Mytilus edulis: one gene and its partner. The protein of the gene in region 2 purifies or fractionates together with the protein of the main gene of each other region. This does not show direct contact. Links are inferred from orthologs where the notes say so. Each region holds a gene or a part of one and is shown on either strand. Other genes may lie near its edges. The genes, in order: aprataxin and PNK-like factor and chromodomain-helicase-DNA-binding protein 1-like.

Region 1 (16,061 bases), on a different chromosome or scaffold from region 2:
GTCATCAATGACGTCATGAATTTTGAAGGTTAATTTATTGAACTAGTGCAATATAGAATTTATTGCACGCTAACTTTTGGTTACTTTCTGTGGGAAATATTATATTGCTACATGTGCTATATATACAGTCAGAGCTCAGACATAAATAAGTCTGAATCTGCTTTTGACTTATAGATGTCTAAATTTGTAAGTTTTAGGATTTGTCTCCCTTTAATGCAAGACAAGATACGACTTAAATAAGTCAAATATTGTTAAGCAAGAAATGATTGACCAGAATCAAAAAGTTGCAAATATCAACTCCTACAAGTCGATAAGTTACCAAAATTGGTCAACTTCAAGACCCACGCATACTTATAAAAAGGTCATGCATCTAAATCAAATAATGACAACATTGAAAGCCAATGCCTTGTCTTCTAAAGAAAAATATGAATGAGAGTCTGAAAAATCGGGGATCATGTTAATTAACCTTACAATGCAACCACCTGGATCTACACTTAATGAGGTAAAACATCTGTGTTTAGTAAGGATGTTCAATTAGATAATTAAATATAGATAGATCAAGTCCTTGTGAACTCTCAGACAGGTTTTTACTGTCAAAGGTGGTGTAGTTTGGCCACCAAGTCAAGTTAAGTTTTTTCATCAACATAAATAGACCTAAACAAGTCTGTCATTTTGTGACTTAGATAAGTCGAAAATTGAAAACACATTTTTATAAAGAATACATGTTTTGACTTCTTTAAGTCATAAACAGAAATAGACTTGTTTATGTCTGAGCTCTGACTGATATATGCAGTAATAATAAATACATCAGACTTTTTACATTTATTTCAACAATTGATTTACTATAACTTCAAGAAATCTTATAAACTTTACAAGATATCTTATTTATGATATTTTATAACATTAGATTTAAACTATATAATTTCTTGTCCTCGGATTTTTGGACTCCAAAAGTTGGGGCGAGCAAGCCATTTGAAAATTTTAATAAAAAAATATTTAATATACAAATTTTTGAGGTGTAAACATTAAATAGTAGGTTTTGACAATATCAAAACTTGCTTTATCACTTGTATTTTGACATTTCTTTAATTAATGAAGTATTTTTTTCCCTGTTCACAATGAGATAATTGAATAATTAAATCTGGTCTATGTTATATAATGTGTGACTAACAATGAGCCAATTCTCCATCCATGTCATAATATGATTGGGAACAACCCCTTAATGTTATAAATATCCCTTTAATGAGGGGTCAATATCAATTATAATATTATAGTAAAAAACTATATATATCTATTCTATCTGGTATCAAATGTTTAAAACATGTGATGTCCAAGAATTTTGTAATATTCCTTGACTTTAACCATGTTAACACATTTACTGTACCAGTTTAATATTATTCAAAATAAGTGGACCCCTCTTTTAGAAAGTTGTTTAAAATATGATTTATTTCTCCTCTTTTTGAATTAAAAATTCTAAGTTTTCCAAGATTTTGTATTGTAGCACTATACAAATCCTTGATATTTCTATTTTCTTTTCTACATCAGTAAAATGACCCCTTGTCTGAGGGAGGGTTGTTCCCAACCTGATAATAACAAACAGAGGCCAAAATACGGCCTTTTACACAGGGTTTTGATCAAGACCAAACAGCAAGCTATAAGGGACCCAAAAATTATTAGTGTACACAACTCGAACAGGAAATCCAACGATCTAATTTATATATCATAGTGGGAAAATACCAATGAACCAAACATCAAACCATAACTGCTGAACGAAAGGCCCCTTAATCAATCAGGGCAGGTGCATAAACATGCAGCAACTATGGATAGTTTTGTTTCGCCAGCATGCAATATAATTGCAGTTGAAGGCAAATCCTTCAGAAGTTCTTTGTTCTTTATTCTAACAACGAACATTTTTTGATAGGGAATATAAGTAAGGGGGAAAGGAACCAATGTTTTGTTCTGTACAGGTATTTCCGCTGTTAAATATTTATATCGGAGCACTCCCTCTTGGAATAAATTGGTTTCATGCTAAAACAAATAATGTCACAGATATTTACACAGTGTGTTGGGGTGCTTATAGGTTTAAAATCATTATATACACTCAAGGTTAGACTGCAATTTTAAAATCAAATGTTGATATCTTTTAAAATATTTACAAAAAAACAGTGTAGGAAATAGACATGATTACATTTCCGGATGCGGGAAGCAGGAAAATAAAAAAAATAACAAAAATTCTGTTTTGAAAAAAATAGGTGCGGGCGGGTCTGTCGAACAAGGAATTAAATTGGTGTGGCCTAAGATAAATTGTGATACTTATATATTATATAAGACATCTTATATAAAATAAAAGTGTTATGAACTGGCTGTTTCTGTATTGGCACTTGTATAGATTCTCGGGCAGCTCTCTCGAGGCCAATACAGCAAACCTTTAATCTATACCAGTGCCAAAACAGAAACATTATGAGTTAATAACACTATATTATAACTATATATATATATAATTTTCTTTAAAGATTATTTCATTAACTACATGTATGTGAGATATCTTACAAACTTTAAGAGATATCTTATAAAGTATTTAAGATATCTCATAACCTTTATGAGATATCTTAAATTTACCTAAGATTGTTAGGGATTGTTTGCTGTCATCTATAATCTGCAACATTCCTTAAATTGCTGACTGGATTTCTGTTAAAGTTTGAATCTTTAGTTTATAAATGCCATTGTGGTCTCCCTAGTATTGACCCTAATTTCTGTTTTGTCAATAAATGTCATCTATGTAGTAGTAGAGGTATGAATATGTCAGCTCTAATATGTTTTTCCATGTGTATTTCTATAGTGCTCAAATGATTGCACATAACAACTGAATTTCAAGTTAATGTATTTGCTTTTCAGCAGTAAATATCCAATTCCTCCTCCAAGTTGAAATGCACTATATCAGACCACCAGCAGAGAAAACTGCTGGGCAGAATCCATTTTTATTTACGTAAATTATGCCCATATTACAGGTGTATTACGATAGAATTGGGAAAGAAGAAGTATGAAGCCTGCCTAACTTATTATAATGATCCTGCTAAGATTGGCTATGGAATTATACTTACACATGGTGCAGGAGGGCACATGAACCATAAACAGCTAGTTGGTATTGCAGAGAAGTTGGCTAAAGCTGGATATTTAGTCTTACGTTTTACCTGTAAAGGATTGAACCTTGCTTACAGGACTAAAGTGTTTACAGGAATAGTGGTAAAGACAACTTTTTTTCTGAATTATAATTTGACATTCAAAAGTTTGTATTTTCTGATGAATTTCAAAGTTGAAATTTCTCTTTTCCAATGAGATTTCTGCATAAAGAACGTATTTTATTCAGATTTCAAAAAATAATATGGATTGAAAGTTTTTATTTTTCAAAATTGACGTATATGTTTGAACTGTGAACAGATACTGGTAAATGGGCAGAGAGTTACAATTTATTTATTTAGTCTAGTATCAAAGATAATCAGTATTTAATTTATCTTCTGAAAATCATGCAAGAGATATGTTTCTTGGCATCATGAATTACGCAAGTCAATTAAGCCACTTTGACAACTTTGTTTTGCAAGTTATTCAATAATTAAAAAAGTTTTTGCTTAAAATATTTTCAAACAGTTAAGTTAAAGAAACAGACAAAAATGGTTTTAAAAAATTGAAGCCTTTGTTAATTTAAAGGAAAAGTTATTTCAAAACTGAATGGTGACTTGTTCTGTATTTTCATGGGAGATAACTCATAACTTGTGTTTCAAAGAAGGAAAAGGTTTTGTCAACTACATGAAATTTGTATATTTCAGGACTATGTAAAGGAGAATTATCCTCATCTGAAGGGATGTTTTATTGGAGGTAAGTTTCACAGATATAAAGTATCACATTCATTGTACTGTTAGGAAAAAAATGTTGTTTTAATAGCTTAGTAGTGCTATTTAGAATAATTATACAGAAGCAAAATGAAATACATATAATTAAAAAGATGTGGTATGATTGACAATGAGACTACTCACCACCAAATTCTAGAATTATTTTTTTGCTTTGAAATGCAATCTTACAACTAATTTAGCAAAACTAAGTATAATTCCTAAAAGAGTCATTATTTTTTCAGTAAACCAAAAGTTTTAATTTTGTCTTCAGGTCATTACTTGTATAAGGTATACACTAAACAATTCCCATATGATATATTTTCATTTCTTGTGCCATACTCAGAATGAACAGGTCAACAAAAACGTGCTGTTTAATTTATTTATCTTTTATCACGTTCTTATATAATAAACCATGTGTATCCATGTCATCTATATAGTACATTTACATATTGTGATAAGCTTAAGATAAACAAAAAGGGCATAGTCATTATAATTGTATACATTAATTGGTTTTAGGACGTTCCATGGGATCAAGGGCAGCTGTTGGTGTTTGTTGTGATTCAAAGATGACCGATTTTTTACAAGGTGTCATATGTTTATCATATCCTTTACATAAACCGAATGACTTCAAACAGTTACGAGATGGTCCACTTAATGATGTCACAAAGCCAGTCCTTTTCGTTAGTGGGACAGATGATAATATGTGTGATCAGGAGTTGTTTTTACCTGTCCTTGATCACATGACCAAAAGTCAGGTGCACTGGATTGAAGGAGGAAATCATGGACTTGAGATTAAGGGAAAACCCATTGAAGATATAGTTCTAGAAATAGATCATGTTATCAGAATTTTTATTTTGGAATGTCTTACAGATAAACTTAAGAGAACTAAAGTACAGAAGGCTGTGAAAAAGAAAATAAAAACTCAATGAAATCTTTATATTGTGTTTTCAATATTTGCTTTCTATGAAACTAATGATGTTGAATAAAATAAGGTGTTTGGTATAGGTCAATGAGACAGCACTCCAGAATACAAATATAATTGAAAAGATATCAAGGGGTCAACACACATTCTAAAAACATTGTGAATAAATGAAACAAACTATCAAATATTTGCAATCAACAATAAATTCTCTAAATAAAAAAAATAAAAAAAACAACAGTAGGATTTGACACAAGCAAATGAATATGGTTTATTTTTATGCCCCACCTACCATAGAAGAGGGGCATTATGTTTTCTGGTCTGTGCCTCTGTTTGTCCGTCCCGTCCGTCCATCCATTCGTTTGTTCGTCCGTGCATCCGTTCGCTTCAGGTTAAAGTTTTTGGTCAAAGTAGTTTTTGAAAAAGTTGAAGTCAAATCAACTTGAAACTTAGTACACATGTGTCCCATGATATGATCTTTCTAATTTTAATGTCAAATTATAGTTTTGACCCCAATTTCATGGTCCACTGAACATAGAAAATGATAGTGGGAAGTTCAGGTTAAAGTTTTTGGTCGAGGTAGTTTTTGATGAAGTTAAAGTTACATCAACTTGAAACTTAGTAAACATGTTCCCTATTTTGCTCAAAATAGAACATAGGGGTTAATTACAAGTTTTGTCTGTTATTTTGAAAACCAATATGAATAGAGAAGATCTGATGAGTCAAAAATGTTGAGAATTTTGAAATACTACAGTGTACCATTTTGCTGATTATTTTGAAAACTATAATAGATACTAGTAGAATGATTTTTATGCCCCACCTACGATAGTAGAGGGGCATTATGTTTTCTGGTCTGTGCGTCCGTTCGTTCGTCCGTCCGTCTGTCTGTCCCGCTTCAGGTTAAAGTTTTTGGTCAAGGTAGTTTTTGATGAAATTGAAGTCCAATCGACTTCAAACTTAGTACACATGTTCCCTATGATATGATCTTTCTAATTTTAATGCCAAATTAGAGTTTTTACCCAAATTTCACGGTCCACTGAACATGGAAAATGATAGTGCGAGTGGGGCATTCGTGTACTGAGGACACATTCTTGTTTAAAAATAATCATCAAGACAAGATCTACAAATATGTAAACGTGCTTAAAATGTCCGACCCCTCCTTTTTAAATGAATTGATCTTTAATTATGGTTTAAAACAATTTTTAGAATTTTTTCCTGTTAACTTAAAAACTGCTACAGATCAATAAGCTCAATTAGCAAAATTGATTTATAAATAAGCATTCATAGCTGAAATCTTAAGTCGACTCATGATTAGAGTTATTGCCCTTTCAAGATGATTTTACCATTTTTCTGCGTTTTTGCCTTTTATCTTGATTTTAATAGTCTAAGAGACAAATGAAGATAAAAACTTTTAAAAGAATCAATGATCAGCAGGACAAGATCTACAAATACATCAACATGACTAAAGTGGTCATGACATTAAAATTGAATGACATAAAAAAAAAAAGCAGCCCATGCATGAAGCCACTACTGCATATCAGAAAATGCTTGTATGATATACAATACAATACAATATTTTTTTTTTTAACTTTTTCCAAATTAAAGGGCCCATAAAGAACATAAAATTAATATCAACATGACAAACATTTCAGAGTGATTAAAGAAACATAAAATAATAGTTCAAATACCTTAAAGGAGATTTCATACAGCAACATCACATTTAAAACACTACAAAGAAGACATGTGCATTTTTAAGAATAGACAAAAAAAAAAGAAATATTAACCATTCAACCTGGCTTATACAAGTTATCAAAACACCAATTTGGTTTTTGATGAGCCTGCAACTATTGTTGCAGAAAGCTTGACATAGGGAAAGTGATCCAGTGGCAGCAGTGTCAGCGTTAACTTACTTCTTTTAAGCTTTATATTTTAGAAGGTTGAAGTTTTGGATGTTTCATATTTTGTATATAGATGCCTTATGTTAAGAAGTTTCTGTCTGCCATACGTCCATTATCCTCGTTTTCATTTTTCAGTGACTACTTGACAAATGTTAAGATTTTTTGTAATGTTAATTTCTCTCTAATTATGGGTAATAGGATAACTTTATTTGGTATATGTCTGTACTTTAAATTGCTTGTCAGACATTTTTCACTTGACCTTGACCTCATTTCATGGATCTGTGAACAAAGTTAAGTTTTTGAGGTCAAGTTCATATATGAGATACTATAAGCAATAGATCAACTATATTTTAGTATATGGAATGATTGTAAGGTGTACATGTCCAACTAGTAGGTGTCATCTGACCTTGACCTCATTTTCATGGATCTGTGAACAAGGTTAAGTTTTCGTGGTCAAGTCCATATAATTATCAGATACTATAAGCAATAGATCAACTATATTTTAGTATATGGAATGATTGTAAGGTGTACATGTCCAACTAGTAGGTGTCATCTGACCTTGACCTCATTTTCATGGTTTAATATTAAAGTTAAGTTTTTGAGTTTTGATCTTTTTTTTTAATACTTTATGTAATAGGTCTGTTAAACCTAATTTATTTAACCAGTCTTTTACAATATTAACCCATTTACTTAATTTCTCTACATTTTTATATATTTTTATGGACTAAAGTGTTAGGTGAGTTCACAATGTGGTTTATGAATTTTATAAAAGCGGAATTTTAAAGTACTAAAAGGTTCTGTTTGTATCAGCTTAACAGGCTTCATTTGTTGAGGGGGGTAGGAACTTTATCAGGACTCCGGGATCGGGTGTTTTTAAGCTTGGGATTTCGGGATCCGGGAATTATTTTTTTCTAATTTTGGGATGTCGGGATATAATTTTTTTTAATTCGGGACCTCAGAATTTCTTGTTTTTAAGCCCTGGATTTCGGGATCAGGACCTCCTACCCTCCCTCTTTGTTGTTTTGCACTGTACACCTAAAATTTCTTTAATAAATTTTAAAATATGTAAATGTTCAAATGGATCTAAATCGTTGAACACTTGGCTTACACCTTAAACTTCACTTCCATAAAGAGTTATTGAAACAACTAAAGTATCAAATAATTTTTCAAGCATATCTAAAGAGACTATTTTTTCAATTTTAAATCAAGCCCTTTTCCATGACTAGTATTTTGAATAACTTCCTGAACAATTTATAGTTATTCCAATATTTGTTGTAATTAAACTGAAACCCAAATAGAATCTGAAAAAAAGATAATATAAATTATTTTATACAAAAAAAAATCTTTTTTCTTCTGATGTATTATTTTGAAAAATGCCAAATAAAAATCGGGGAGACTCCCCGATTTGTCCCCCAATGGCCTCTATGACAGTGAACTAAAGATATATACATCATTAATTGCTGCATTTGAATTACAGTTGTATGTCAGTTCTTGTTTAGTTTTTGGTTGTAAGACATATCATAATCAAAGCTCTCTTGGGTAGGAGTTACATTTACTACACGCTAGAAGACAGGTTACCCACGCTGATTAAAAACTTACAATTATTATACTGTGCAAACTGACACCAATGCAATTAATTCATTACTTTGTTTGTTCTGCATTAGTTTAATGCATCCGTATTTTTGCAAATTCAACCTTGACAGGAAGTGAAGAAACAGCTACACGATCATTTGCAGCGCAGAAAAGTCGTCAAGCAACGTTTTACTTTCACCCTCTGGCTCCAAAAATTATGCCACTATGTCTATAATTACCCTTGTATCTTTGGATGACGGCGAGACTATAGATCTCCCTGAAGAAAAAACTATAAAAATTGGACGTGGCTCTTTCTTGAAGGTAATACAAGTCTGAAAGTGATTCTATATTTGCAGTTTGAGCTAAATAATATATAATCGGTTAACAAATTATCTCCCTTTGCATATTTAAGAAAAAATATAGTTTAAGTTTCTCAATTATTAGACATGTTAGATGAAAGTGCAATGTTTAAGGTTCATCATAAGGAATTGAAAAATATGGCCGTGTTTACACCTCCAAAATTACTATGAGTACAGACAAACTGGTACATCCAGGAAAGTTTTAAGGCATGGCAGGAACTAGATATATAAAAGTTATATGAAGTCTACGTTTCAGAAAATTATAAACTTACCTGGATTTTGATTTTCATTTTTTTCCAGTCTGCAGAAGATAACAAAATAAACAAACACCTGAGTTTCATTTGATACGGTCCACTCAGTTAAACAGTTTAAACCTGTTAAATCACCTATTGTTTACAGGTGTCTATTGTCCATCCATTGTCCATTTAAATCAATACTACTCACAACATTGATTATATGAGGGGAGCTTCTCAATCGTTTTCACTACTTAGTTAATTTTTGCACCTTCTGCAGGAACGAAAAAAAATGGGTAGCAAAATCTAGAAAAGTTTATAATTTTCTGAAACATAAAATGCATTTAAAATTTATATATCTAGTTCCTGCCATCCCTTAAAACTGTTGCAGGTGTATAGGTTAGTCTGTACTCAGAGTAAAATTTGGGGTGTAAATACGGCCATTTTAGCCAAAAGGTTATGATGAACCTTAACTTAGCAGACAAAACTAAAAACAAAAAAGCCGTTTAATTGTGATAAAATACTATAAAGAAATCATCATTTAATATTAAAAAAAGAAGATGTGGTATGATTGCAAATGAGACAACTTGACCTCCACAAGCAGGGGTTCAAATTAGTGGTGGTCCGAGGTCTGTGACCTTCCACTATTGCAATCAGACTTTTGATTTGGTTACAAGCTACGCCCGACGGACCTTCAATTGGAAAGAAAATAAAAATGTGACAGAGTTGTCAAGCCACAACTGGAGATTTGGAAATTTTCAGCTGGAGTTTTGGTCTCATAACTGGAGATTTTTTATCGACGTACGCAATGGGTTTTTTTGTGTGTTTAAACTGCATATTTTTTTTGGGGGGGGGGGGGTTAAAAGAACAATAATTCCATACCTTTAAACACCTGCATATCCATTTTTACTTGATCAAAATCTTAGCTGGCTACCATGTTATATATATCTAATTGAACACCTTTTTAACACTTTTTATTCTGGATTACAAAAAAAATGACCAGAAAAACCTTAAGTGATCGTCGAATCATCCAAAAGTTTTGAAGTTACACAGAGGAAGTAGTGCTCATTAGGAATCCTTGTGTAGTTAATTATGACCTGTGCTTTTGGCTAAGATGTCAAAAAACAATTGTATGAAATATTTAATCGCCAAAAATCTCTTAAGACAAGTAGTTTAGATGTCCCAAATGGCAAAAGTCGCAGGAATATTGCTCGTCATCAATACATAGTACAACTACGTCAGTATCTATTATATAATAAGTTCAACTGTTCATGCTGTTGGCAGCAATTTCAAATTAGAAGACAATTTTTTTGTATCTTTTCAATTTGGAGACAGGGGTGCAAATTAGCGGTGGTTTGAGGTCCGCGCACTTCCACTTTTGCACGCAGAGATTTGACTTGGTTTCTAGCTATGCCAGACGGAGTAACCTTCCACTTGAAAGAAAATAAGAAATAACTTTGCAAACCTTTTCACCAAAGTCTCCAAATAAACGATCTAAAAACTTATTTTCATCATTATAATTTATGACAGCGATGTTCATTTTGTTCAACCGCTAGCTTTATACAGAAAATCGCCGACAAATAATGTGTAAATTCGAGTAAAATCTTATCTGATTGACAAAAACAATATTGTAAACACCAAAATAATGGCTGCTGTGAAGACAAAATTTTACCATATCGGATCTGATTCCGGAAGCGGATAAGGGCAATTCTGGGTTTTGGCGATCAATTATAAAAAAATCCAGGCAGGTGACGAAATACATCTATGCATGGTAAATGAATATAAACACTAGACTGCTAGAATTGAAAACCAAATGATATGTTTAAAGAAAGAAAAAGAAGAAAATATTTTATACAGACACTCAAAATTACTTTTTGACAAATTTTAATGTCAAAATCCAATACAATGTGACAGCTGGGAACAGTATATATCTATTAACAATATATATGTTCATGGTCACAGTATAAATTTTCTTCATCAGTGATAAATGATGATAATGCATGTGAGATGCTTTTAAAGTGTAAACATATTACTTCAATTTTGAAGGGTTATTTTTTTCTCAATTTTGAAGGGTCAATTAAAGAAGCTTGAAGTTTCTTACTTTATTTAACTATATTATATAATACCTGAATGTAAGCAAATCATATGATATATAGGTGGCGTCCTTTAGGCCACTCTACCAAGGGGTGGGGGTTCCAACTATATGTACCCATTCAGATGCATTGATCGGCACAAAAAAGGGGGATTCCAACCCCCAGCCTCCCCCTGGATCTGCCAATGCTACCCCCTCCTGTTTGATAACTTGGAAATAGTCGAGATTCCCACCCCTAAACCATAAATTCAAGTATAGGACAATATGATAAATCAAATAAAATATAGGGGGAGTCCCTGGAGTCACCCACCACTTCTGTTTGAGAACTTGGAAACGGTCGAGATCTCCACCCCTTAACCATATATATTCATGTTTGTGACAATATGAAAAATCAAATGAAATATAGGGAGAGTCGCTGGGGGTCACCCCACCCCTCCTGTTTTTGAATTTAAAAACGGTCTAGATCCCAACCCCTAAACCATATATATTCATGTATGGGACTATATAAAAAATCAGATGAAATATAGGGGGAGTCCCTTGGGTCACCCCAACGCCTCCTGTTTGAGAATTTAAAAACCGTTGAGATACCCACCCCTTAACCATATATGTTCATGTATGGGAAATATAACAATTCAAATGAAATATAGGGGTCACGTACCCTACCCCCTCCTGTTTGAGAACCTGGAAACTGATGAGATCCCTACCCCTAAACCATATATATTCATGCATGGGACAAAATAACAAATCATTCACATTTACTATGTGCAGGTCAGACTTCAAACTTCACCTTTGATCCAGGTAGTACATGTAGTAGTGAACATTTGTCTGATTCCTGTCTCATAACTTTTGTACAATAGAACACAAACTCAGTTTTCTTTCCTGGGAAACCAGTCCATTCATACTATTACATTTAACATGTTCGTACTAAGTCAACTTCGTCGTGTGAATATTATAATGTTTTATGTCCCCTTTTTCTAAAACTGAGAAAATGGCATTTAAAGTTGGACAGTCTGATATCCAGTCATATAAAACAAGAGCTATGCAAAAAGTATGCGTAATACTAGTTCCAACACATCTGATTAAATTGTCCTTTTCAGAAATCTGATCAAGTATATATTATTTCGGCAATTTCATATTTCAAGTTTGGAGATAGTACATTTTAATCTTGTGATAAGTAAAGTTGAAAGAATTAAAATGGTATTGGACATAAAACATTATAATATTATTACTGGGCAATGTATATGCCATTAAAATTGAATAAAATCGGCAGTAGAAACAAAGGCCATACACAATCTTGTTGGTTAAAATAGTGTCTTATGTTTTCTTTGAACTATATAGCTATGCCTGCAAGGCAAACTGGACGTATAGTTCTTCTGTCTATGCGTCTGTCCTTGCAAGGTTAAGGTACACGTTGACTTTGTCTTTCTTAATAGAATTTCAATGTTAAAAAACCAGGTTAAGTTTCAGGTTTAAGTTTTTGATATAAGAGTTATGATATCACCAAGCAGCTTTGTACATAGATAGCTTATGATGTGGACTGTTTGATGCAAAGTTGATGCTTGGGTCGTAATAAGTCAAGACTTATGGACTTTGTCTTTTGTAATAAAAAGTCAATGCTAAAGACCCAAAGTTAGGGTACGGCCAGATCAAGTTAATTGATAGATTCTCATCCACCTAAATTGAAAATATTGGGTTGAGTTGGACTCTTATATTTTATTTTTACGTATTTTTATTACAGATTCCAAAGAACTTTGTAAAAATACATAAAAAACCTAATTGGTTGGAACGGATGGGGATAAGAATGTAAAAATTAATTTGATATGATCTTAAGGTTAAGTCTGTAATGGGTCTGTGTCTGAACAAACTGTTAGTCATTTTAAATACAGATCATTGGCGGGCATGTAGTGTCATTGGACATTCTTTTTCTAAAAGGACAGTAATAAAATGACACATAATAATTAGACAATGACTTTATGAATATAAAACTAAAGAATTACAAAAATGGCACCTTTACTCCTTATAGGATGCTGATTTATAAACAAATCATAATTAGCACATCATCATAACAGTTGGACATTAAGTTCATGACATGATATGAAAGGGATCTGTATATGTTTCAGCTAAACAAAATGTATATTTTTTGCTATTATTCATTAAAAAGCTGTCACTTGGACCATTTGAAAATTTCTATATTTTGTCAATAATATTAATAATAATTAATAATAATAATATACAGACTATATTTATGTATGAAAGTGCCATAAAGTCCTATTAAATTATAATGCCCTCATTTCATACTATCTCCATTGGTAAACTTTTGTCATGTGACCCAGAATCCGTCAATTTCATTGGTTTGTACTTAGATCACTATAATTCTGAATACAACATTGTATTTGGAGATATATCATTTTAATACTACTGTTTTAGGCAAATTTGAAGATAATTAAGCCTGGTTAAATATATAGGGAGATAAAACATTGCAGCACGAAACTATTGACACCCATAACTCATTTCCACTGTAAAATGGACTTATAACATTATAATATTCACACGACGACTTGTACTACTAGTAGTCAACTAAAACCAACATTAACTACCAAGTAGAATAACTGCAATCATTGTGAACTTGTACCACTGCAGACTCACCATAAAAACTTGATATACATTGATAGATGCATTGCTTTTGAAACCTTGATAACATATAAATTATTTGCCTTATAATTAATTCATTAGATAAACATAAATATACTATATATGAATGTTTAATGTTGAAGCAACATTGCCATAGTTTTCATAAATACGTTTGCCTTGGTTTTTGGTTAACTGCCCTCAGTGCTTACAGCGCTTTGATTTTTTTAATTTTAGACAAGTATTTTGCAAATTCAGATAATAGACATTTGTAATAAAGCACAAAATGTCAAAAACAAGTATGAATGTTTCAAGTTAAACAATAATATATGAATACTATTTCGAAAGACAGATAATAATGGATCACAGCTTATAATGCTAAAAAGACATGTTTTTCAAAAACGATATCAAAATGAACAATGCCAAACCAACTTAAATTTCACAGATATTTATTAATTTTATAAAATTAAAAGAGTTAAACATTATTTTAGAACGATAAAAGTGACACGCACATGTATATCAGCATCAGCAAATAAAACAATTATACTATGCATGTTAAAAGCTGGTGTTTGGTATAAACAGTCAGAGCTCAGACATAAATAAGTCTGATTCTGCTTTTGACTCATAGAGGTCTAAATTTGTAAGTTTTAGGATTTGTCTCCCTTTAATGTAAGACAAAATACGACTTGAATAAGTCCAATATTGTTAAACAAGAAATAATTGACCAGAATCAAAAAGTTGCAAATATCGACTCCTACAAGTCGATGAGTGATCAAAATTGGTTAACTTCAAGACCCACGCATATTTATAAGGAGGTCATGCATCTAAATCAAATAATGACAACATTGAAAGCCAATACTTTGTCTTCTATAGAAAAATATGAATGAGAGTCTAAAAAATCGGAGATAATGTTAATTAACCTTACAATGCAACCACCTGGAATCACACTTAATGAGGTAAAACATCTGTGTTTAGTAAGGATGTCCACTTAGATAATTAAATATAGATAGCTCAAGTCCTTGTGAACTCTCATACAGGTTTTTGCTGTCATAGGTGGTGTAGTTTGGCCACAAAGTAACATTAAGTTTTTTCACCAACATAAATAGACCTAAACAAGTCTGTCATTTTCTGACTTAGATAAGTCTAAAATTGAAACTACATTTTTATAATAAATACATGTTTTGACTTATTTAAGTCAAAAACAAAAATCGACTTGTTTATGTCTGAGCTCTAACTGATAAAACAAATATTATTGAAATATTATTTTTACGGCATATTCCACAAGGCCAGAATATCATATTTGCTAAATCAGTGAGGTTAACTTTTCTTAGTGACAGGCATGTTAAAACCCTTCCACGATCTTTAAATGTCAACAAGTATTTAATAATATACAAAACTTTGAAGAGTTCACCATGCAGTTGCGAATATTAGACCTCGGGCACTGATTTTTTTTTAATAACGAAATATACGTTTTGATTGAGGACAATATCCTTCATGATTCTTCTTTTTCCTCTTGTTCATATTTATGGCTTACTTATATACAATTTTGAAATCTAAAATGTAACAACACTATCTATACACTTTTGACAAAACAAGCAATGATTTATATTTTTTTTTTATTCAGGAAAACACTTATTGTATTATTAAATTTTTTTTTTTTTTTTCTCTCTGGCGCTCCTGGGTGCTTTTTAGTAGGACCAGATGGACAAAAATATAAGTGGTAGATTATGTACACAGAAACATATATTAAACAAGAGATTGAAATTTCCTTTAAAAGAATGTCAAAGGGAGATCATTTTGTCTAATCTTGTCACAAATCCCAAGGCAAGACATAGATATGATGTTTCCAGTGTCGTCAACAATGTTTTGTGATTAGGTTAGTTTATAGGGAATTGCTAGTTGTAGATCAATGATATTTGGTATGCATATGTATTAGCATTGGCACATCTCATTTCCATGGAAATGTTTTGCCCTGTAACTTCAGTCATGGTTCATTGACTGAATAATTTGCTTCACTTTTCATGTTAGAAGTATTGCTATTTTAATTTTAACACTTAAAGAATGTTGGCATGGTTGTAGTGGGGGAGCAATTTTACATCTCCCATGCAGCTACTTTCTATGTTTGAAATCTTACAACACTCATTGTTTGAAGAAACATTTCTTCAAACTTTTCAAGGCTTCACCGAAAGAGAAGGATCAGTGATGTTTTAGTATATATCTTATGTATAAAATTGCTCCCCTACTACAACCCATGCCAACATTCTTTTAGTGCCTGTCCCAATTTAAGAGTTTAATGGTCATGGTGGTTGTAATTAATGGGTCCATGTCTATCATATTTGGTTTTTTTCAGAAATTGCTTTGTTAAGCTTTAGATTTCTCAATAGAATAGTTTCATATTTTGCGGGCATGTCTTGCCATTTTGATGGTAACATGCAAATGTTGAAATTACCCTACTTGATTAATGCAGTGACAC
Region 2 (16,436 bases):
TTTTTATTTTAATTCAGGACACACAAACGTAGCAACAAAAATTTGCAAATTAGGACATAGTTTTTTCGTTTTTTTTTTTAAAAGTTCTTTTAGCTATTTATTGAAAGACAACAAAGGAGTAAATGATATTTGTCTTCAACATCATTCAACTATATTCTAGGCGTTTACCATCAACAACAAAGGAGTAAATGATATTAGTCTTCAACTTCATTACATCTATATACTTGGCGTTGACCTTGAAATATTTTCATATGGTCCTTGTATATACTGACCTCTATAACCAAGATAATCTTGTAGAATGTCCAGCATGTGGGTCATCTGTGAGAACAGTAACACTTTATGTCCCGCTGACTTCAGATAAGACAACATTTTATCCATCAGCGCTAGTTTACCACTCACATCAATTAAATGGTCTCCTATCATAAAAGGTTCTGGTTCAACTCCTAAAGAGAGAATAAAAGACATTTGTACACTTCACACTTTGATAGAAAATTCAATGAAGTGGAAAATATTTTCTCCCAACCTTATATTAAAGGATTGGAAAGTTATTTGAGTATAAACCTGGTCTAATTGTAATTTAGATTGACATATTATTAAAAGTTTCTACAGATTCAAGTATAGAAAAACATATTGAACCTAGCAACCGTCTTTGTTTGCCTGTCCTAAAATTCAGTGGTTGTAGTTGGTTGCCATCTTATATAAATTAGACCATTGGTTTTCTATTTTTCCCATTTTATCATCTCTTGGCTTTTTAAAAATAGATTTCAATATATTGGTATAATATAATTTTCAAGGATTTTGAACACACATGAACAAAAAACTTTAAAGTTTGAAAATAAAATTATATAGAGCATTCTAAATGCTTGGTTTAAGAAAGGGTAATAATAAATACTGCAGAAAAAATTGAATGCTTATTTGGTCTCTTGTGGAGAGTTGTCTCATTGGCAATCACACCACATCTTCTTTTTTAAGATTAGGACATGAAAAAAAGTTTAAAATCATAAAAATAGGTTTTACCCTTTTTAAGTATTGAAATATAAATGATGTGTTTTTTTATTATAGTAGAAGTTCTTTCTTTCATTTAAAAAGAAGCTACTTTGAAAACTAGATGTCCTTTTGTTAATTGTATAGTTGGATTGCTGTCTCGTTGAATTTATGCCCCATATCACCTTTTATTCATATCTATTAAAACTTACCATCAAATAGATAAGGATGATTGACACATTTTCTTAGCTGCATTAAAATGTTCATCAAACTTGGTGAACTCATTTCTCCACGGTAATTTACTGTTTCAAACGCACCTATAGAGAAAGATAAAACTTCTTATTAACGACTTATGGTTTAAATAACTTTTCTGTTTTTCTGTACTTCTTCTGTTAAAAGATGACATTATATTCCCTAACAACTTTATGAGTTAGCATATTGCATCTAATCAATAACAGCTGGTAATGGAATATATTGATTTCTCTATGTTTAAAGTCTTTGTAAATTTGCAATTTTTCACTTTATTTTAGAACTAAAAGCATATTATTTCAAGTTCTTTGTTATAGATGAGTAAAAAAATACATATCTAAAAATCCTGAAAAGAAAAAAATAATATGGTATATGCATATTTTTTGATGCCCCTCACCTAAATTTCTCAACATCACTGATGACACTGACGTAATTGGTTATAAAGTTTGAAAATTTTATTACTCAAAAATTGATTATTTTAAGTATACAATTTTTTACTCAGAGTTTAGTTTGATAATAGTATTATTTAAATCCATTGATATTTGGCATTTATTTTACATGTTTTGGAAATAATTCCCAAACCAGATTTCAATGAAACTGAAATATCAGAAGAATACATCCTTACCACACAATATAAGGACATTTGCTAAAGGACAATAAAAGACTTACTGATATCTTTGGTAAGTATTGCCTTGTATAATTTTTTCTGTAATTTCGATATCCCATGAAACATGACAATCTCTGACTTTTTAGGGAGATCCTTTAATACTTCATCTTTTGTTCTCCTTAACAGGTAAGGTTTTAACAAACTGTGAAGTTCCTTCATACCTGTAGGTATAAATGATATAAAAAAATATTGTTTTCCACAAAGTTATCGTGACCCTATACTTTTATCATAACAAATGGAACTGTGAGCTATTGCTTACTGCTGATACTCCTGCATTAGGTTTTCAGCAAAATTCAAGTTGAAGAAAAAAGAATCAGAAAACACATTCCATGGTTAACATATTTACATGAAGCCTGAAAACAAATGTCAGAAGCATTTGTGTGTAGTACCTTAGAAATATTTACAGAATATAACAAGTATTGCCAGTATGTGTATGTAACAATATAAAGAGGTAGTTGATGAGAAATGAATCTGAAACCATGTCTCACAGTATAGCAGGTTGACAGAAGCCTTGAAACAAATTTCAGAAAAAAAATTGGGACACTATTATTTCTAATTCCTTAGAAAAATATGACAAACATTCATTCATGGCCATAATGCAAAGAATAGAAAAGTATTGGTATACAAGTTGATGATCAATGAATCAGACACCATTTTCTCTATAAACAATCCAGTGATTTGTTGATCGTGTTCATTAAAGGCAGATATCTGTTTTTGTGATTTTTAAGTTTTATAGGGTTTCATTACAATGAAGGTTTTGATTTCAAAGAAATTTTGTTTAGACAGGTTTCTGTTTACTTATCGTTCAGATTAGACAGGTGTCTGTATAACATTTTTTATTTTTAAAGTTCAGTACCATCCAACTTACCATTCTTATCCATGTCACTGAATTTATCGACAAATTTTTCTTGACCTGATTTTCTAAATTTTCTTGGTGCTATAAAACTGAGTAGTGAATACAATTCCTGGAGGTTGTTCTGCACAGGTGTACCTGTTAACAGCACACTGTGTGGTATGTCCCACTGTAAATACATAATGGTCTAAGGTAATATACATGTAATTTATAAACCCAACAAGTATTAAAATGTGTCTTAAAATACATGACATTTTATTTCATTATAATGGTTTTATGTGAAATAATTGCATCTTGTTTTTTTTTTCTCTCTCTTTTTGATAGAAAATTAAACATTTACATTTCCAAAGGCATTAATTTAGCTTTATTTCTTTTTAGTATTTGTATTTCCACAAATTTACACCCTGCACAACACAAGTGTTAAAGAGCATGTTTTAGTACAAAAAGGAGGGAAACCTCTGAAAGCCAGCCGAAGGACGCCTCCGGGTGCGGGAATTTCTCGCTACATTGAAGACCTGTTGGTGACCCTCTGCTGTTGTTTTTTATTTGGTCGGGTTGTTGTCTCTTTGACACATTCCCCATTTCCATTCTCAATCTTACTTTTCATTATTTGTATTTAGATAATACATATCAACTCAGCTATTTTTTTTTGGAAATGTCTCAGCTTTGCAACAAACAAGCCAAGATATGCAAGTTTAAGATATGGGCAGAGGAATTCATAAACAAGGCTATCCTTTGTGCCTACCTAAAATGAGTTTTACCCATTAACAAACCTCTTTCAGTGTCAGATGAAGTTGTGATTCATTGTTCTTTAGTCTATGAGCTTCATCCACTACTAAACACAACCATGGAATAGACGATAAAAATCCACTGTCTTTCAGGCATAACTGTAAAATGTATAAATAAAATGTCAAAGAGTCTGTTTAAACATGTTAAATGCATTTTGTTGTTGGATAATTTACAATTTTATGTTTTTCATTAAATCAATTTGTACATGTGTAATGTATAGAAAAATGGGGACATAAAACTTCCTATAGCTTCTGTATGTTATATCTTAAATTTCTTTATTTTTGACTCGGTTTACATTTTTGCAGAAGGTAAGCCAATGTATGGCAGTGTCTAAGCTAGCCTAACAATAGAGGGAGACAACTCTTCGGGCTTTTATGTGTTCCCCTATGCCCTGTGCATTTTTGTTTTGATAATGACCAGACATAATTTGTACATGTATCCAAACTCTGTTTTCAGTTGCCATAAATGTTGTATGATCTATTAAATGCAAGCCATATGAAGACATTAAACAGTCATATAATACCTCATATGTTGTGACCAGTATATTGATATTATGGGATTTATTCTTCATATTCTGAGCTAACTCGTTCCTCTTTTCTTTGTCTCCTGTATAACATAAAACCTTCAAAGTCGGTGCAAACCTACAAATTTAAATAGAACAATTGAGGTGCTTTTAATTACCCTTAACTCCCTCAGGCAAAGTTGGCTACAGATGAATTTGGCTATTTATTTTCTAAAGGTCTTTTTGACATATAGCTCTTCAACAGTTTTGGTACTTATACATCTTTGGATTTCAAATGTTTAGTTTTGAGCGTACCTGATGAAGGTAAATCCAGAAAAGCTCTTCGGATGCAGGAAATTATTAAATGTGTTGTTTTCAATTTTTTAAATAGTATTTATAGATTTTTTTTGCCTTAAAATATTAATCAAACTTTTCCGATTCAGTACTGATATTCTGACAAACAGTTGCTTATTGTTTGGGATTAGAGGTATTACTTTTCTTGTTGTGTAAATTATATAAAGACGTGTATATAGTTTGATTGTTTACTCATCTGACTAAATACGTAATGCATATAAAGACGTAAGAAACATGTGATGTTACAATATGTTATGTTAACAACATAAGTAATTAGTGTCTCTGTATTGCAGTTAATTCGTAACACTTATATATACCCTTAAATCATGTAAATAATAAATATTTATTCATAGTTTTTTATGTCTGAAAATAATAATCAATCAACAGTTCAATTTCGGAAGTGATGTTCAGACAAACAGGAGCAGATATAGCTGTTTTTAAAAGGGGGATTCCAACAATATGTCACCATTCAAAAGCATTGAATGCAAAACAAAAGGAGAGTTTCAAATCAATTTAAGCAACTTTATAGTATGTCTACTGTAATTGAACAAAGTCCTATCTATATTAACCATGTGGACAACACCATGAACAACAAATATCAAAATGTGAACAATACATAAGGACCATCTAACAGCCATTTTATAATCATATGAATGGATGGATTTTAGGGGGATAACAGGTCACCACTTGACAACTACTTCTATCATTGGTTTCTGTCATATGAATATCTACTCTAACTTATTGTCTGAATTTTTCAATTTTTAATTTACCTCTTAATTTCTGCATCCCAGTTTTCTAACACAGATCGTGGACATACAACTAGACTTGGTTGAGCTTTCTTCTTTGACCTCTGATTATACAGAATAAAGGCTATGGTCTAAAAGAAAAGAAATCTGTGAATAGTACACCATGTTTAGTAAAATACTCAATAAACGTGATACATGTATGCATGACCCACAACCCTAGAATTTAATGTTCGTCCCGTAGAGCTTTAAATTGTAGCTTCTAAAATTACCAGCATATGCCATTATTGTATATCAATTTAACTCTTAAATATTTTGTAATTACTATAATTAACTGGCTTGCATCTAAAATAGATTTAGTTAAAATTACCATAAATAAATTCATCAGATCTTATGTGTTTGCAATACCTGACAAGTTTTACCAAGACCCATTTCATCACCTAGGATGGCTCCATGCTCCTTCTTGTAACAGTCAATCAACCAGTTCACTCCGGATAACTGGTAAATTCTCAGAGGAATACCATCTGCAAATTAATATTTGTACATAGTTTATTTCGTCTATACACTTAATCCATTGAATATGGACCATAATTTGGTATTCGGCCTTTGGTTTCTTTTTGTATCCTTTCTTATAAGTTCTAAAATTTTAACTTTTATTTTGTGGGTTGTGTTGGTGTTAGAATAGTATGAATGGAACAATTGAGTTTTTCGAGAAAAAATTAATACATTTTGATTCACCGTTTACGTGACAGGAAACCAAACAGGAAACCAATCTTTATTTTCTTTATTTTGCACAATATAATTCAAAAGGCATAAATAAACACCATTACTAGTGTTACTTGCTTCATGTTAATATTTAAAATCTATTTTCAATGTTATATTAAAGTTTTTTTTAAACGTGACAGGAAACCACAAGAAACCAAAAGCATTTTTTTAGTTTTATTTTATTGCAAAATCTGCTTAAAATAATCTGAACAGTATACTTTTTCTTAAAATCCATCTTAAATGTAACATTATAAAACTCCTAAATATGTGCTTGTTTTGAAAACAATTAGTACAATTTATTCAGAATTTTCCATATTTTCTTCATTGATACAGGATACCATAATCGTTGTATCTTGATGTTTTGGCCAAAAAAATATATTTATATTTGGTTTTGAAATTCCAGTTATATAAAATTTATTCCAAATCATTGGCAATGTAAAATTCTTTAAATCCAGTAAAGAAAAAAACTTTTAACTTGGAATTAAAATCTTTAAAATAGGCACCATGTGATATTTGTGACCTGTACACCATCTACATGGTTTCCACATTTTAACCTACTTTAGTGGGCTAAAATCAATAAAGTACTTCCTTTCAAGTCATGCCCGGTAAAAGTTTACTTTTCCTTTGACAAGTTTATTGCGTTTCTGAAAAGTGTTTGCAGAACATGAATAAAAAAATTAATTAAAAATTGTGACAAAGTTACCAACTTTGTACATTCCAAGTGTAACGGTACATTGTATATTAACATGCATTTTTCATTTAATTATCTTTATTCACCTAAAATATCCAGTAATATTTACTGCTGAAGCAAAATCAATCCAACGAACATCGGCACCATGATAAGAGACGTAATTTCGATTGAATTTACCAAGGACCCTTTACATCGTTATTGGGAAACGTAGTGTGTTTAAACGTCGGTCAAATCTGAAATCGATTTTGTCAAGTCATTGGGCATTTATTTTCACACAAGATCGTATGTAACATTATGCACATAGGAAAAATAATAGACCCCTGGCGCAATCTCTTTGAAAATTATATTTTCCTTTTTTTAACAAGTCAAAACAAGTCTACAGATTATGTTTGCTAACATCCCGTTGGAAACAAAAACAATGTTTAGAACTACCGGTAGTATATCGTATGTCCGGCTGTAATGGCGTGATCACATGTTAGTCACATGTTTCACATATGACCGGAAATGATTAGAACTTAAGGACAAAAACAATTTTAATAAATAACTGGACTTCTGTTTCGTGTGAAATGTAACGCATAACGATAACGTCATTTTCTTACCTAATTATTATCAAGATCAAAACAAGAATGTAAATCATCTCTGATTTACCTGTTTGAACATCTCGCGAGAGTTCATATTTGCATATTGTTTTTAAGAATTCTATTACAACAAAGCAGATTACATCATCTAAAATTTGCGTTACGAAATCGGACACAAAAGTCATCCCACTGTTCTTACATCTGCTACATAAATACTTATAGTTCTCAGCATTTTCTTCTGACTATTCTTATTGGTCGATGTTCTTTGTTATTTGAAAGCAAAAGTTACGAATTTGCCGGTGACAATTATCTATAAATCAGTCAGCGTTATGCTCTTCGGAAGCAAAAAGTAACGTGAGAAACGACACAAAAATACGGTTAAAGAATCTTTGAAATTTGTATATTTCAATTTTTTTTCTAGGGAAGAGTAGCATACACTTGTATGTTGATAAAAATAATGGCATCTTTAGATGTAGTTACAACTTTTCTTACAGTAATTCACAATTTTATCACTTTTCTATAGTTATAGGAAACGAGCCCAATAGCAAATTATGGTCCATATGTAATGGTTGATATTTGAGTCTTTGATACATGATTTTAGCAGCTATTGTATTTGGACTTGGTTTTAGCATGTTTAGTAAATTCTTTATTTTTTGGTAAATAAATCTCATATATACATGTAGATTCTCATTTGATTGTTTTATATTCATCATGTTAGAGCTGTTTATAGCTTGATTTTGCTTATTGCTGTACAGTCAAGAGTTTCAGACATAAATAAACAACTTTCAAGTTCGATGCATTTCAGTCAAAAACTTTGGTGTTAGTGAATATCATTCGTGCGTTTAGGGGTGTTGCCACTCCCGTTCCAATGTTAAGCGAGTGGTTGGAAAACTATAAAGCTATATCATGTATATTGCACAAATTATTCGGCAAATTAAGTTCTCATAATAGTTATTCAGCACTGCTGTCATTAGGGAATTGTGATTAAGTACCTACAGATCAAATATTTTTTCTAGTTTATCCTGCACAATGACGATCACCCAGACGCTTGATGTACGTATATGGTGCAGGGATACAGGTGATCCCATCTATCTGGTAAATGACGTCATAAAGGTGCGCATAATTGATGATTTTTTTTCAGGTAACGGACAAACTCAAAAGTGGTCGATTATTTTATTCTAATTTAAGTCTAAATTTGCTTTTAACTCATAGAGGTCTAAATTTGTAGGTTTCAAGATTTGTCTCCCTTTCATTTAAGACAAATTATGACTTCAATAAGTCGATTAGTAAAAGCAAGAACTATTTGACCTGAATTAAAAAGTGATACACGGCCGAAACGACCTAGTCTGAATCAACAAAAGACGATCTGTCACCAGACTAGGCCGAAACGTCTTGTTTTCTTACCTGCCCATCCTATCGCATTCAAATCTTTATTAGATTTAATATATTTCTCTGTGACATTTTCATCCTCGCTGTCGCTTATATCCATCTGGATTTCGTTTAAATATTTCTTAAGAGTTCAGAATATTTTGTTGAGCTTGCATTTTCCAGGGTACTAATATAAACAAAAGGGAGAAAACTCGGGTTACACTAAAGACCTGAAAGTGGACCTGAAAAGACCTGAAAAGACCTGAAAATATACGACTAAAATTATTCAAATTGCAATAACTTTTTTATTATTGAATGGAATTTCTTCAAGTTGGAATTTTATTTATTGTAAATATTTATATTTCATTAAAATTTAAAAAAATTAAATAAAAAACAAGTTTTTGATGCCAAAAGTTGGACCTGAACGGAGAAATGAAAAGACCTGAAGGGACCTGAAAATCTATGTCGGACTAATTCTAACTACAATAACTTTTTTAATATTCAATGGATATCTTTCAACTTTTGATTTTGTGACACAAAAAGTTCAATATAATGATAAAATTAAAAAAAAATATGAAAAATACCATTTGGGTGTGAAAACTCGGAACTGAACGGAAATTTAAGTAACATAAATTTGCTTGAAAAGACTGCGGTCAGATTTATTCAATATCTTTAACTGATTTCAATCATTCTCCTTGAAATATGAATTTTGTTATAGGAAAGGTATAATATATCATTGAAATTATAAAGAATCTTATCGAAAATATAATTATTTAGTTACAAATTTCGGACCTTGTCGGTGAAATAAAAGACATGAATGGATTATAGGGGTAGTTGTATTTAAACTCGCAAAACATTGTTTTCCTATTTGTTTCTATTTTAGACAAAAGTCTATTGAAGAGAACGAATGACTTTATATTTATACAGGAACATATTTGAAAAGAAACTACATTGTTATTGATGAATCCTGAAGCTAAAGGGGGAAAAAAGGAAGATTGTCCGTTGAAATTATTCAAACTAATACAACTTGCTTAAACTACATTAATATATATTTTATTCTTATTCTATAGTAAAGCTGGTCGTAAACTGCTTTATTTATAAAATGAAAGTATTAGTATTGCTTCCCCATAAACCATATGTAATTTAAAGAGTTCGTCGATTGAAATGTTTTAATTACATGAACGTGTGCCGGTTGTAATTCACACCTTGTATTCTGTAATCTGTAATCTGTAATCTGTAAACGAATTTCTGCCAATCAAGGCACACCTCCGTAAAGAGGAAAGTAGTTCCGTCAATGAAATTCCTCCACCAATATATGTACACAGGTAAATTCACAGTTCACAATAGTCATACACAAGGTTATCTTATTTAACATACATGTTTACGCCACGACAGTGTTAAAAATATTTCAAATGCAATTAAAATGGTAAAAACTAATTTTAAAATAAGTTAAAAATAAGTTACAATAGAGACAATAAGTACAATTATATATTAAAAAAAAGTTTATTTTTTAACACTGTTAAAAGGAAAAAAAAAGAAAAAAAGGAAAGTTTATAAGTGCAATCCGTAAAAAATTTAATAGACTTTAAAACTTCTAAAAGAGGGAGATCCATGTGTACCCCAACATGTATATATTACAGCTAAAATGAGTTCACAGTTCTTCATTTTCTGTTTGCTTTTGTATCAGCTTTTGTCAACACATCATATCGCTTGGAATGAAGTGTATATAACAGTTGGCGACATAGCGGTACCAAGTGATTACCAACTCTATCTTCAACATCCTTGCACATCTTCTTTGGTAGGTAATGATAAGGATTAATGATTAATGTTATTAAATCAATAGGAGTTTGCAGGCTCTCTCTTGCTAAGACCAGACTACCTTCGTGTAGAATTTTGACGATAAGGGATGACCTTATTTGTGAAATTGTTTCACACAATAAGATAAAATGTTCAATGGTTTCGTCAGCTTTATTACAGAGTCTACACATCGGATTTGTTGCATAGTTTGAATACTCCGCTTTATTAGATTGTAGTATGTAGGTACCCGTAATAAATTTAGTGCAGATTGACAGTTTCTTGATCTCCGTTATATTTGCACTTGTTGTTTTAAGTAAAGGATGAATTCTGCCAATGTCATATTCACAATTAAGATATTTTAGAGTTGAGTACCCCTTCATTTTGGTCTTTATGTCATCCTCCCAGTACTTGTGAATCTTTTTGGTTATAAATCTCTTCCATTCAATTTTTGTTAATGGCTTATCAAGATACTGTTCTATCTCTATGATGTCATATTTGCCACATATCTTTTTTAGATCAATAAACCAGCTATTGCTTGAGTAGGTTTTAATTTGAAGTTGTCGTTCAGCTATTCTCCATTCTAAGGACGATCTTTCAGATCTGGTTATATTCCCAAATAGTGTAATAATTTTAATATGGATCTCTGCTTCAAGTGGGAGCAAACCTGATAACATATAGACAGCCGGGTCAGCCACATTTAGTTTGAGAGATAAAATCTGTTTAATCCATCTTTTATGTTGCTGTTGTATAAGATCTAAATTTTTGCCTGTTGGTATCAAGACTTCTAGGCCGTAGGTCAAAACTGGCAAGATATACGTTCTAAATAAGGAGACTATTGTTTCCGGGTCTAATCCATTTTCCCCATGTAATCCAGCACCCATAAGACTGTACATAGATCTTCTGGCCTTTTTTATATTTTCAGTGATGGTTGCATTAGTAGAATCTTTTTGAGATTTTTTTATTCCAATATGAGAGGAGTCTTGGACAATGGGCATATCTATATTTTTAAGTTTCCAAAAACCTTGTTCAACATCTAGCATTTTATTACATGTTTTGATTGGCAAGACTACGCTTTTTTGAGGCTGTAGTAGATATCCCTCTCTTTGGCTGAAATCAACTGCTAAATTTATCATATTTTGGAGTTCAAACGGATTGTTAGATATCAAGGCAATATCGTCAGCACAAGTTGGCGCACAACAGTTTATATTTCCTATTTTGGCTCCCAGTCCAGAGTTGCTGAGAATTTGTAGTAGGGGGTTGATATAAACTTTGTAGAGGTCAGCGCTAATGGCTCCACCCTGTCTTACACCTTGTTCAATATTAAACAATCGATTTGACATTGTATTACCCCATTTTACACAGGATGTTGCATTTTCATATAAATTGCTGATCAGTAAAATAGATTGCTGTGAGAATCCAATTTGGAAAAGACGTCGTATCAGGTTTTTATGAACTACAACATCAAAAGCAGATTTTCCATCCAGTAATGCAACATAGGTTGGTAACTTGAGATCTTTATTTTCTCTTTCAAATTCCTCAATGAACAATTCACAAAGCAATGGAGTGGATTTTGCCGTAAAACCTTTTTGTAAAGGGTTTTGATGTTCCAAAATCTTATTATTTTCCCTTCCTTTAATTATAATCTCTATTATCTTTGAGTAAGTTGGCGTTATAGTGATCCCACGGTAATTTTTAGCATTCTTAATGTCACCTTTGTTTTTGAAAACAGGAAAAAGGGTTCCAATTTTTAGTAAATTTGGTATGTAGCAGTGTTCAAAACTTGTGTTAATTAAAAGTTGAAGATACTCTAAAAGTGTTTCGCTGGCATAAATGAAATTTTCAGCAGTGATTCCATAAAAGTCCATAGCTTTATTTGTATTTAATTTTTTTACAGCATTTTTCAGTTCTTGGATTGAGACTTTTTCATGTAAATAATTTTCCTTACATATTTTTAATATTATTTCTGTTTCAACCTCAACTGCTTCTAAATGATTCTGATCAAAGTTTTGATAGTTAGATTTTTTGGCAAGATCTCCGAAATGTTTTGTCCATCCTTCCAATACACTGTCAGATGTTTGATATGTTTCATTTTCAACTATAAGTTCTTCAATAAATCTACCCATTTTCCCCCTCTGTTTTCTAATTAGCTTATAAAATAATGTTGTATCACTGGATTTAGCATCCAAGATTTGTTGTCTAGTATTAATCCTTTCTAGTGCTTGCTCTTTTCTACATAGTGTCCTGAGATCATATGTGGTGATTGTTTTTTCCTTAAGATAGAAGTTACCAGGTTCTTTTGGTCGACCTTGTTGTTTCCAAATATAGAAGGCAGTTTTCTTTCTTTTCACAGCGTGTAAGATTTCGTCATTCATCACTGGAAGTTTCTTCTTTTTCTTACCCTTTTGTTTTCTTGGAGCAATTTTTGAAGTTGTATCTGATAGAATTTTGTTTAGTTCATCAAATGCTTGATCTAAATTCAATTTTTCTGAGATAGGTTTGATTTTCTCTAATTTATCATCAATCAAAGTTTTATATTCATTCTTGTCCACCTTATTCCAATTAACTTTGAGGTTTTTTGTATTAGTAAGTTCTTTCATCTTCTTAAAGGATATGTCACATTTCAATGACAACATCAGTGGAGTATGGTCAGAGACGTTGCTATTTATTTCTTGTTTTTCAATCTTGATAACATTTTCCTTATAGTGATCTTGAAATAGAATGTAGTCTATTGCGGACATGGCTTGACCACTTGGGTGTATGAAAGTAATTCCACATTCAACTGTTGAAAGTTTATGTTCTGACATAAAATTGGATATGGCTGTTTTTCGTTGAGAATTTGTTGAACTGTATATGTTTTCATTGAGATCTCCACCTATTATAATTTGATGAGAGTTTTTAAAGGTTTCGAAAATTTCATGAAGGTGGTCCAGACATTCATTGAGTTCAGTAAAATGGTTATTAGAGCTCCTACATGGCAGGTAGACAGATATTAATATAGTATTGGGATTACCTCTAATTTCCACACATTGTATTCTTTCATTCCCTAGCTGCATTGGAGTAATTATATCGTCTAATTCACGTTTCCAAAGGATAGCCACTCCTCCGTAACCTCGAGGCATATGACTTGGTGGAATGGGATCATTCATATCGACCGCTTTACCAGTTCCATTGAAGTTTTTATGCAGTTCTTGTAAAAGATGTATTTGACAATCAAAAAGCCAATGTTCCTGTATAAGCATTATATCAATCTTATTCTCAATCTCATGTATAAGAGGCACAGTAGTTAATATATTTTTACAGTTAAAATCTAAAACACTCAATATATCCTTCTCTTTTGTAGACTCACAATTATTACTGTTATCAATTGCAGATTTTGTATTAAAATCTAAAACATGGTGCATATTATTTACATTGCTGTGTTTATTTACAGTTGAACATTCATCAGATGAAGCATTAACTTGCTTTTCTTTTAAGCAGACAGTTATACAATTTTGTGCCTCTCTGGAATGAGGCTTTTCTGTACTAAAAAATGTTGCTGCTGCTCTTTTTGTGTATAAAATAAGGGTTGTCCTTGCCGATCGTCATGATACTGTTCTAGGTATTGATATACGTCATCATTATACACAGGTTTGATTCTTTTCTCAGAGACACATTTGTTTCTTATATCAGCACTTTGATTGGAAGAGGGGTAGCAAAGGTGATTATTTGGGTCTTGTGCTGGAATAATCTCAATAAGATTTGAGAGAACTGCGCATTTTCTTGATGCATACATTGAATAGTTGGTCTGATGGTAACCATGTTGCACATCATTCTGTCTATTATGACTGTTACTCATAGAACAATCAGGAGAGACGTTGTGGTTGGACCCACCATCGCTCCCCTGATGTCTATAAGCATTTTGATTCGATGGACCTGCACAGTTTCTTGGTTCCTGTGGAGTTGAATACTGATCATAAGTATGTGGTTGATATGTATAAATTTGTTCATCTTGGGAGCTATGACATTTGTCACTTGTAGGACAATCAGGAAAGACGTTGTGGTAAGGCCCACCATCGCTTCCCTGATGTCTATATACACTTTGATTAATATAGTCATTACGGTGGTATGGTTGGTTTGTTCCAAAGTCTTGATAATGAGAACTATAATTATAATTCCTTGTGGGATGATCAGGAGAGACGTTGTGGTAAGGCCCATCATCGCTTCCCTGATGTCTATACATATATTGATTATAATAGTCATTTTGATAGTATGGTTGGTGTAATTGTGTTCCTAAATCCTGATAATGAGAATTATAAGAAAAATTACTCGTAGGACGAACAGAAGAGACGTTGTGGTAAAGCCCACCATCGCTCCCCTGACGACCATGAGTATCTTGTGTTGAGTCATCAATATGGTGATATGTTTGATTCATATAAGGCCTGTGATTCTGGGAATTATATCTGTTATCACCTGAGGAACGATCGTGAGATAAATGGTGATTGCCATATGATTGTTGTATATTTGGTCCGTTACCCAATGGATTATAATCAGCTGCTGAAGAGGTAAGCTTCTTATTTTTGTCCATGCCCAGAAGTTGCGACAGTTCTTGATCCACTTTTGTCAAAACATATTTTGTTACCCTGTCTCTTATTCCTACCACAATGTCATCACTGCTGTTTTCCTCTTTCATCTTAATTTTACTATCAATAGCTTGATTTAATGTTCTAATTGTATGTTCCAATTCAATATTCTTACTTTCAGCCTTTAGTATTCTATCTAGAAGAGTGGTCTTTTCTGTTGCATTTTCATTTAAAATTGCCTCTTTTATTTTCAATTGCTCTTCCTTTTTCTTTAGTTTTTGTTCTATCTGCCTTATCTCTTTGGGAATGACAGTCTCCTGTTTGTTGCTGTCAGGCTCATTAGCTGTTTGGTTATTCTTATTTGCTTTTGATGAGGATATAGAGGATTTAACATTGGTAGGGTTGTTATAGAGATGTTCTTTACTTTTGTCATCTACATTAGTGAGGGTCTCTGTGGTATTGTCATGGCTCTTTTCAGGTTTTTCTTTCGAGATATTTAATGAAAGTTGATGATTGGCACCTATACATCCATAACAGGTTTCTGTGTTTTTGTCAATACATTTACTATGGAATGCATCATTACATATCATACATGTACACTCATCATCGAGAATGAAGTTACAAGAAGGGCAATTTTTGCCTGTTTCTTCACGGAGGAGAGATTCAGCAATAGAGATATGGTCATTAGAGATCACATTGTCTTCAAGAACATGTTGTTCTATGGCCAGAACATTATTCCTTATATGTAGATGTTTAGATATGGTACTTAGATCTGTATTTTGGATATCAAGTTTTTGGACTGTTTGGGGTGATGCATTGCATTCTAAAGTGTGTACCTCATTTTCCTTGTTACATGAACGGCAGGAATATGGATAATCCCCCTTTTCCAGTTTTGAGATATCCTCCTCTGATAGTCTTTCACATCTGTAATGAACCCAGTGCCCATTAATACATTGAACTGCTCTTGTTTTGCAGTTGCGCTTACATACATAGCATTTCTCTTCTGTACCTACAGTGGTACTCACATTGCTTGGAGTTTCTCTATCATCAGTCACATGATTTGGTACTGGCCAAGTTTGTAGAGCTTGTTTGAGTGTATGAGCAAGTTTTTTATTTAATATATGAATGTCAATACAGGAGTTATTAATTTTTGTATTATCCATAATATGTTGTAACTGTTGTAAATCTCTTTCTAATAGCATTTTGGTATTGCCACCATTGATAAGTAGGCTACATTTGGTTAAATATGCATTAATGGTATATCCTAACGATGGACTATCAAACACACGAAATATGTGTTGAGTTTCGTTACCAATTCTGTCTTTCATTGTTGTTTTATTGAAACTATCCAATTTAGTAACTGGGTTTTTGTAATATTGATCACAGGCATGTATAAATAGTTCGAATGAAATGGGGTCAAGCTGTATAGTTATACCTCCTTTTGTAAAGTTGTACGTGATTTCATTTCTATTTGTGCAATCAAGTTTCTTCTTTAGAGATTTCTTTAAATTCAAGACATAGCTTTGGTTGTATGCAG

What was found.
Region 1: the proteins of chromodomain-helicase-DNA-binding protein 1-like (region 2) and aprataxin and PNK-like factor purify together in Homo sapiens (affinity purification with mass spectrometry; 4 studies listed by BioGRID and IntAct, counting the BioPlex papers as one, with this or other methods). This does not show direct contact. The link is inferred for Mytilus edulis from reciprocal best matches to the Homo sapiens genes CHD1L and APLF.

What each region holds. Positions count from the first base shown.
Region 1 is NC_092346.1:42,450,555-42,466,615, forward strand, and holds the start of aprataxin and PNK-like factor, read left to right. Parts: upstream 1-8,236; 5' UTR 8,237-8,501; coding exon 8,502-8,597; intron 8,598-16,061. Other genes in the region: testis-expressed protein 30-like, read left to right, coding at 3,009-3,243, 3,825-3,873, 4,404-4,816. UniProt on the Homo sapiens protein: Histone chaperone involved in single-strand and double-strand DNA break repair.
Region 2 is NC_092350.1:3,585,196-3,601,631, reverse strand, and holds the start of chromodomain-helicase-DNA-binding protein 1-like, read right to left. Parts: upstream 8,758-16,436; 5' UTR 8,665-8,757; coding exon 8,580-8,664; intron 5,666-8,579; coding exon 5,550-5,665; intron 5,276-5,549; coding exon 5,169-5,275; intron 4,184-5,168; coding exon 4,066-4,183; intron 3,641-4,065; coding exon 3,527-3,640; intron 2,923-3,526; coding exon 2,769-2,922; intron 2,062-2,768; coding exon 1,903-2,061; intron 1,302-1,902; coding exon 1,197-1,301; intron 444-1,196; coding exon 273-443; intron 1-272. Other genes in the region: uncharacterized protein MAL13P1.304-like, read right to left, coding at 13,822-16,436. UniProt on the Homo sapiens protein: ATP-dependent chromatin remodeler that mediates chromatin-remodeling following DNA damage.